2 linked regions of the Oryctolagus cuniculus genome follow. The protein of the gene in region 1 binds, or shares a complex with, the protein of each later gene. Links are inferred from orthologs where the notes say so. Each region holds a gene or a part of one and is shown on either strand. Other genes may lie near its edges. The genes, in order: CLTC and GTSE1.

Region 1 (4,514 bases):
TAATTAAATATTGGTGGCCCATTCATAATATAGCTCTTGTATCTCAGACTGAGATTGAAAATGTAACCTGATTAAGCATCTGCAGTACTGTAATAAAACAATAACTCCTTTAGAATTTTTTAGAATTTGTCTCTTTCCAAAAAGGGTTTGAAGCAGCTACAATGAGACTGCTATTCAAATGCTGCAGAATCAAGTATCTGGCTTAATACAAGAGGAAAATTTTCAAGCATAGGAAGCCCCTCTTACAACATGGTGGCAAAGGCTTATTCTTTGCAGAACGATTTCTGGCTGCCCTGTTACCTGCCAGATTCTAGCCTCAGCATGGGAGGCAGTATTTTGGGAAAAGCACGAAAGCAACTGAAATGATTAAGCACATTTCTCACTCTAGGCAAAAACTGCTTCACACACAAAAAATTCCGCACCCGATAGGGCTGTGTGTTCCTTAATCGAAAAGGGCACAACAAATAATTATCGTGGACTTGAGTATTTTTCTCAAGGTCTTTCTGAGGGGGGAAAAATCGCATCTCTTTAAAGATGGAAAGCACGGGACTAAACTCTTCTTTATTGTACTGGGGCTGAACTGTTGCAGCTTAGACTTCGGTTGTCAGTCGATAATGAATGCCGCAGATACCTTAAAGCTGTCAGAAGACACGGTGCTCGGGCTTCCAAGCGCTCCTGTCCCCCTCTGCTAACCTGCCAGGCAAGGGCGAGGCGATCGCTCCGAGAGACGCGGCTAACACTTAATCCTCGTCCTCCGGGGAGGACCTTCAGGTTTTACCGACCACTCGGGGCGGAATTAGCTAAATCTTTGAGACGAAGTATTTGCCGTGGCTACAATGTCCTGCTCCAGTTCTGCTCGAACCCTTCAGGGTTATGTATGAGAACGCAAATTCTCTAGCACCACATACACGGAGTAGTAAGCTAGGCCGATCCGAGTCCGCCAAAATGTCCGCAGAAGTGGCGAGAACAGGCGAGCCTGAGGCATCTCACACTCGGCCCTCACTGTCCTTGGGCCTAAGGAACACCTGACGCGAGCGCCGCTTCCAGTCAGGAGTGCGCGCCTCGGGGTCGCCCCCCGTCAGCAGGCAGCGCGCAAGGGCGGCGAGGGCTTCCGACGCGGCCTCTGCGCCCCCTCCCCGGGCGGGGAGCAGCCGCCCACCGCCTCAAGGCGGGCGGGGGAGGCGGGCTGCAGCCAGCTGCCGGCGAGCGCAGCGGCGGCGCCGTTTCGCCGAGTCACCGGGCGGGCGGGCGGCTGGTCCCGTGTGCCCACGCCACGTCCTCTCCGCCAGGGACGCGGTCCAAACAGGGGACGCAGGGGCAAAGAAACGGCAGCCGCCGCGCCTCAAGGTGGCCCAACGGGCACCTCACTCCCAGGAGACGCCGCATTCTCCTAGAACTTGCGCCCCATTCTGGCAGCGTCAGCCGACCCTTCCCTACCAGCATCACGTGCACCTGGAAGTACGTGGGTGGGACCCAAAGCGCCTACGGAAATGACGTAGGTCGCCCCGAGTCGCATGATGTGGCAAAATGCAAAAAAAAAAAAAAAGGAAGGGGGGGAGGGAAAAGCAGAAGCCTGGAGAAAGTGATGAGTCTAGAAAAGTAGTCCCTGCTGTTCCTCTATTTCCCCGGTGTCGCATCAGGAAGCGAGGCCCCCAGCGCACTGCGCCCCGAATCCCTGCGCCTGGCCGCGGCGCGGCGCTCCGTGGAGGGGTACATAAGGCGGAGGGGGGGTGAGGCGACGGGGCGGAGTTTTGTCGCCGGGATCCTTCCGCAGGGCTCAGCCGTTTCCGGAGTCTGCGCTGCGCCCGGTTCCGCCATTGCGGCTCTCCTGGCCCCTGGAGCCTCCGCCCCCGACCCGAGCTCTCTCGTCTGCCTGCCAGTTTCCTGCGTCCCCGGAGAGTATCCTGCCGAGCCCAGCCTCCCCCCTCCCCTTCTCCTCCTCTCCCTTCGGAGAGCCCGGGCAGCCACTGCCCCGAAGCCCCAGTGACAGGAGGAGACTCTACCCCCCGACAGCGCCATGGCCCAGATTCTTCCAATTCGTTTTCAGGAGCATCTCCAGGTGCGGCTAGATCTGGGCTGCTGCGGGCTGTGGTGACGGTGGTAGGAAGGAAGAAGCTACGGTCTGGGCCGGAGCAGGAAGGGAGGGGTGTCGGTGTTTGGCGTAGGTGGAGGAAGGGGCGCTATCTTGGAAAGCTTAAAGGGTTAAAGGATATGGGGCTTGGGTGGAAAGGACGAGAGTTGGGGTGTAAAGGCCGGCAAGCCAGGCCTGACTCTGAGGGCCTTTCTGTCTTGCTTCCTGGAAGGCAAGAACTGCGCGTGTTATCCCCCCTCCCCTTCCCGTTTTATTCAGTTCATTCATTTGGATAGGGGAGTGGGAGAGGGGAATTCTCCCGAGTTTCTTCCGGCCGGAGCAAGCATTCTCATCATCCCCTGGGCCAGTGCAGGGCTGTCACCCTCCACTGCCCATCTCTTCCCTTTCCCCCCATCGTGTCTGCACCCGGGAGTTGCGGGGCGGGTGAGTTGGGGAGGAGCAACCTTTTTTTCTTCCTCCCTCTGCGGCTCTCAACTGAGAAAGGCACCTTTCCGGGGGCGGGGGGTGGGGGTGGCGGCCGTGGCTTGTCCCTTGCCTTCCCCGAGGCAGTAGGAACAGAAGGTCACTGAAGGAATAGAATGGGGGGACGCAGTTTTCAGGGCGCGGTCAGTCTTAGAGTGCGTGGGGTCAAGGTCCCTGGGGAACTCGCTTGGTTTTCCTTTCTTGATTTCTTTGGGGGTGGTGTGGCTCTTAAATCCTTTTGAGTTCAGAACGTAGCAAAGTGTTACCTAGAGGTTATCTGGGGGGGGGGGGGTCCTCAGGAGTCCATCCGGTGGTTGTGAAATGTGTGGCTTGAGTGCCTCCGACAGGATCGCATGGAATGGAACAGAGGCCCGGGGTTAAGGACACACCTGCCCTGAGTTGGTCTGTAACTCGTTTCTTCTTGGTAGATTCTAGAGTTCTTCCGTAAGTGCCTTACCCTGGAGGCAACATTCTTACGGTTGTCTCTTTGGGCAGCTTGCCAATGGCTAGCCTAGGCAGGTGATCATTGAAGGGCTTCGCTGAATTAGGCCTCTTTTTGAGCTTCTGATGTCCCTGGTTCACCAATCCTGGATTCTCATCAGGAATAATAAATTAACTTGGTTTCTTCCCGTATGTCCCCTTAAAGAAGCCTGCCCCAGGGCCATCTACGGCAGGACTCACTTCCTAATCCGAGGATGCAGTGGTTTAAAATGAGACTGGTTCTGGTAACCTATGGGATACTTTTCCACGCAAGGAAGTTTTATGTACTTTCCCCCATTGGTGTAACAAAAGAAAGAGTCTTGTCAATAGAACAGTTAATATTCAGGCTACGAGTAAAATAATTACATATTTCTTTACAGGCATCACATTTGCTTGCACTAGCAAGACATTATTTTCCTTTAAGGTTTGAAATGTAAAGAATGCTAAATCTTTAACCCATTAAGTAAGTTAAGTAGTACAGCTTTGTTCAGTCACCCAAAACTCATGTAAAGTAATGGAATATACCTTGGCTATAAAAACAGTTTTATGAAAGGTTAACACATGTTAGGTGTGACAGAACGGGCTTGGAAAAAGTTATTTTTTGTGCTCCATCCAAGTTTAATTACTGTGATTACCTCTGTTAAAAAAGGGGTGGTAAATGAGTGTGGAGGATTAGGAAAGTACTGTTCTTGCATGAGAAGGGGAAACCCAGGCTCTTCCTCGCACTAAAGTACATCTGAAATATCTTTCTGCAGACAAATGTTTGTAATGATAACCCAAGAGAAGCTGGTGTGGCTGCTGTTTATTTTACATGGCACAGCTATAGCCCACTGGTAAATCTTGCTGACCAGTGGTGGTTTGAGTAATCACTTTTCATTTCCATTAAAGAGGAGAGGATTGTTGAGTGATCCTCAAAATTGAATCCAACTGTGTCATTGATTGAAGACAGATTTGATACAGGTGTGGTTTTGAGGTTCTGTTAATACTTGAGTGAAGCCATTTTCTTAATAATTTGAAGATTTTAAGTACAAAGCAGCTTAAGAAGTATAATTGAAAAATTCTATTACTCATTTTTTTGGAGTTCTGTATCATGCTCAAACTTAAGCTTAGCTAATATGACTGTAGACTCCAGTTGATAGTGATTAATTGCACAGAGTTCAAATTACTAAATTTTAATAATATAGCTCTTCATATTTTTATTCCTTCCCTTTTTAAAATAAGGGCTATTTTTTGATTTTTTATTTGAAAGGCAGATTTTCAGAGAGAGCTTTCATCCGCTGGTTCACACCCCAAATGGCCACAAATGCCAAAGTTGTCAGAAGCCGGTTTTTTTTTTTTCTTTTTGACAGGCAGAGTGGACAGTGAGAGAGACAGAGAGAAAGGTCTTCCTTTTTGCCGTTGGTTCACCCCACAGTGGCCGCTGCGACTGGCGTGCTGCAACCTGCGTGTTGTGCTGATCCAAAGCCAGGAGCTTCTCCTG
Region 2 (3,803 bases), on another chromosome or scaffold:
TTGTTCATGTACTACACGTTGAGTCGGGTAGCTAAATGTGCGCATATCCCATGTGTTTGTTCAGTAGCTTTGTAGGTGAAGAGTAACGTAAGCTTGAGTGGTGACCAGACGGTGTGTGTCTCCTTTTCCAGCTAAACGAAGGGAATTTACAAGCGTTCCTGCCCACAGCTCCTTGCCTCTGTCAAACACTGGCAAGTTGGGCAGAACAGGCCCCAAGGCACCGCACCAGTCTCTGCCAGCAGCAGGTACCGACATTGCTGAGTGCACCACGGAGCAACCCACAGTGCCCACCACAGCTGCTGCCACCCAGCCCCAGACCCCAGGAGGTAGAGACCCGAGGCTGGACTCTAATTCTATTCTGTCGGAATCATCTCAACTGAATAAAACTGGAAGTATAAGAAGGCGAGATTCCCATCTAAATTCTGCAACAAAGGTTATGCCTACTCCTACAAATCCATTTAAAATTCCTAAGTCTTCTATTGGTAAGTAATAGAGAAATTTTAATGCATTTTTTAAATATTGAAATTTCATTTAAAGCTTTGTGGACCGCAACATGGGTGGGTTGTGTCTTGGCCTTCTGTGTTCTCCCATTGTGCTGGACAAGAAGTGTCGGGGTTCAGTCCTCAAGTGACATGTGCCTACTCTGTGGCTGCAGGAAGGGTTTTATTTCATCATCATTTCCAGTGAATTCTTTATTGTATACTTTTAAAAAAATGTTTACTTATTTTCAACTACTTGAAAGGCAGAGAGAGAGATCTTCCATCCACTGGTTTACTCCCCAGATTTCTATAACAGCCAGGAGCCAGAACTCCATCCGGGTCTCTCACATGGGTGGCAGGAACCCAATCATTTGGGCTGTCGTCCCCTGCTTCCAAGGCACATTAGCAGGAAGTTGGATTGGAAGCGGAGTAGCTGAGACTTGAACCAGCACTCCAGTATGGGATGCAGGCATCCCAAGTTGTTTAACTTGCTGCACCACAACCCAGCTCCTGTTATTATTTGGATGGAGATTTTCTTTGTGTTTATCCTGCTTGGGGTTTCTTGACCTCTTTTGATCTTCAGGTTGATATAGGAGGGGTCCAGAAGTGCAGCGGTTTTGGGGCAGAGGGGACAGCTGCAGGGCAGTGGGCTGGACTCCTTGAAGCACCTACTGAGGAGGGGGCCCTGTGTAGCTGAGGTCAGGGGGCTCCACAGGGTGTGTTTGACTTTGTAAGATGTTGCACTGGGGGCCTGGCCCATGGTGCTTATGGCTGACTTTCGTGCTATTTGGGATGTGCTCAATTGTGAACTGGTTCACGTGGCGCTGTGCTGTAGAGGGCATGGTGGGGACACTGGACGTCTGGAGCCCACTGCAGGTCTTGGCTCAGTGACTGGTGAGCCCGTGCCCTCTGAGCCTGCCTCTCTGCACCTTGTGAGTGTCACATGGGGCCATGCACCCTGAGGTGCTTTGGCAGCCATGAAACAGCACGTGCGCAGTGTAGTGTACTCCTGTCCTGGCAGTGTCACAGAAGGAAGATTAAGGTCTTTGTGGACACTCGGGCTCGCCTGGGAATCCAGCCACATTACAGTGTTGTTTCTGACGTTGGGCGCCCGGGAGTGTGGGAACTGAGTGACAGACAGGCTCCGCTGGAAGGGACTCTCCATGGGAGTTGTGTTGCTTCCTGTCGACTCTTCCCTGTGTCCATCACTGAGAGGCCAGCCTTGCCGTGTCTGGACTCCCTGTGTAGGGCATGCGTGCTGACACTCCTGCTGCTGGCAGGTTCTCCCCACGTGACCTCCTGCCCGGGGTCTGTACTCTGTGGTGCCATCTGCCCTGCAGGTTGGGCACGGGGAGCCATTTCAAGGAGAATTACCCACTTGGTGAGTCCCCAGACAGTGGAGTGCCCCATGACCCACTTGTGGCTGACACACTCGCTTCCTCTCTCGGTCTTAGGTGGTTCCCCGGATGGTACAACACCAAAGTTCTCTCGGACGCAAAGGCCGCAGTCCTGTGTGTCGGCTGGAAGGTAACTGCCGTTGGTCTGCTTCCTTCTCATGTTACTGTGATAACTCCTAAGGTGCCTGCTGACTCCTGAAAGGGCCTCCTTGGGTCTGCTCACTGCTCCCTGGCCTGTGGCCTGACCTTAGCAGTAGCCTTTGGGTGCGGACTGAGCTCCCACTGTAGACCTCAGCCACCCTGAGTCGTCTGCATGGTGTATCGCAGCTCCTTCGGCACTGTTAAAGCTGCCTGTGCCGGGCCCCTCCTGGCCACCTCATTCAGCTGGACTTGTGTGGAGCCCGGGGACTGGATCTTGTAAATGCTTCCAGAAGAACCTACCCTGTGCCTCAGGCGAAGATTCCTGGCATGGGCAGCTTTGCAGACTTAGGTGTGAACCCACATCTCCTGGTCTGTGGTCAGTGCAAGTTACTGAGCATTTCTGACATTGTTTCAGTGGGTGATCCCAAGCAGAGTCAGACAGATAGTACAGGTCGTAAGAAGATGCACACATGGCCGACCCTTCCCCTGACTGTCCCTGCTAAAGACGGAGTGGCACAGGAAACCTCACACCCACAGTCTTAGCCTTAAAGTATCCTGTGTGGAGCTGGGGGTGGAGGCGAAGGAAGGACACTCATGCCCGCTGGAGTCACATGGCCGGGGCGGGACTCTGCTGCGGACTATGCAGGGATGGGATTGGCAGGATAATCACTGGTCTAAGACGCCAGAGAGTTGAACCTCTGGTTCCGCCGTGCACTGCGTGAGCCGTCTGCAAATCTTCCGGGTTTTAATTTCCTCTGCTGGGGTGCACTTCATGGGGTGAGGCCAGATGAGTGCTTTATAGCAGCAGCCACACTGCAGCTGAAGGCATGAACCCAAGCTAGACAGCCCCTTATGCCTCACGTGCCCGCACCTCACTTTCTCGCCTGTGGAAAGGGAAGTTAGCTCCTGCCTCCCAGGCCTACTTTGAGGATTATCCAACATGCTCCACAGTCTGAAACTTTGTGAGTGCCGATGTGATACCAAACCAGAACATTGCACAGCTGACCTCACAGGACAGGTCACGGTCAAAGTGCAGGCAAACTAAAAATAGTATAGAAAATGACTTTCAGGCTGTGGGTAAGGTATGCATGAAACTTAAATGAACTCCATGTTTATACATGGGTCCCATTTGTATGTGCAGATATTCCCTAGCCCCCAAAACTCTGGAAACTGGAGCATTTCTAGTCCCAAAGAGTTGATAAAGGCTCCTCAACCTGTGCTTTTATTTGTTGTCACTGGGGTTTGTGTGGCGCTGCCAGCACTCACGGTGAGGAAGGGGACAGTGATCCAGATCAGCCGCAGCAAAGGCGGGGGTGGGGTGGAGGGTAACTGCCCCTGCTGTCTGTCAGTTACGTGAGTTACTGTCTGTTCAGACTCGTGGGAAGAATGGAAAACTTGCCCTTCTCGAGTGACAGACTCGTCACCTGTACGTCACCCGCGGGCTCCATGCTGAGAGTACATCCTCGACTCGTCTAAGGCAGGGTTTCAGTCCTGAGCTTCCGTAACAAAAACACCACGTCCCGGCTAAAGCAGCAGACATTTATCTCTCACAGCTGTGGCGGCTGAGCGGCAGCCTCGGTGGCTGGTCAGGGCTTCCTGTGGCATACGTGGTGCCTCCTCGTGTCTGCGTGGTGGAAGGGTCAGAATCCCTCCGACATCTTTTGTTGGGCACTGAGTCTATGGTGAGGGCCCTGCCCCTATGACCTAATCACCCAAAGGCTGTCTGCTAACATCATCACCTCAGGGGGTGGGGCTTCAGCATAGGAATGTGGGGGACACAAACATC

Evidence for each region.
Region 2: the proteins of CLTC (region 1) and GTSE1 are in contact, whole or in part, in a crystal structure (PDB 6QNP), measured with the Homo sapiens proteins. The link is inferred for Oryctolagus cuniculus from reciprocal best matches to the Homo sapiens genes CLTC and GTSE1. Residues at the interface, in NP_004850.1 of Homo sapiens: Val50, Arg64, Pro65, Ile66, Ser67, Ala68, Leu82, Lys83, Ala84, Thr87, Gln89, Phe91, Asn92, Ile93, Lys96, Ser97, Lys98, Asp143, Arg144, His145, Trp164, Gln182, Leu183, Tyr184, Ser185, Arg188, Lys189, Val190, Ser191, Gln192; in NP_057510.5 of Homo sapiens: Ser686, Arg687, Pro688, Leu689, Ile690, Asp691, Leu692, Met693, Ser707, Pro708, Val709, Val710, Gly711, Gln712, Leu713, Ile714, Asp715, Leu716, Ser718.

Annotation. Positions count from the first base shown.
Region 1 is NC_091448.1:34,909,919-34,914,432, forward strand, and holds the start of CLTC (clathrin heavy chain 1), read left to right. Parts: upstream 1-1,545; 5' UTR 1,546-2,017; coding exon 2,018-2,059; intron 2,060-4,514. UniProt on the Homo sapiens protein: Clathrin is the major protein of the polyhedral coat of coated pits and vesicles. Two different adapter protein complexes link the clathrin lattice either to the plasma membrane or to the trans-Golgi network.
Region 2 is NC_091442.1:120,893,522-120,897,324, forward strand, and holds part of GTSE1 (G2 and S phase-expressed protein 1), read left to right. Parts: intron 1-131; coding exon 132-482; intron 483-1,933; coding exon 1,934-2,006; intron 2,007-3,803. UniProt on the Homo sapiens protein: May be involved in p53-induced cell cycle arrest in G2/M phase by interfering with microtubule rearrangements that are required to enter mitosis. Overexpression delays G2/M phase progression.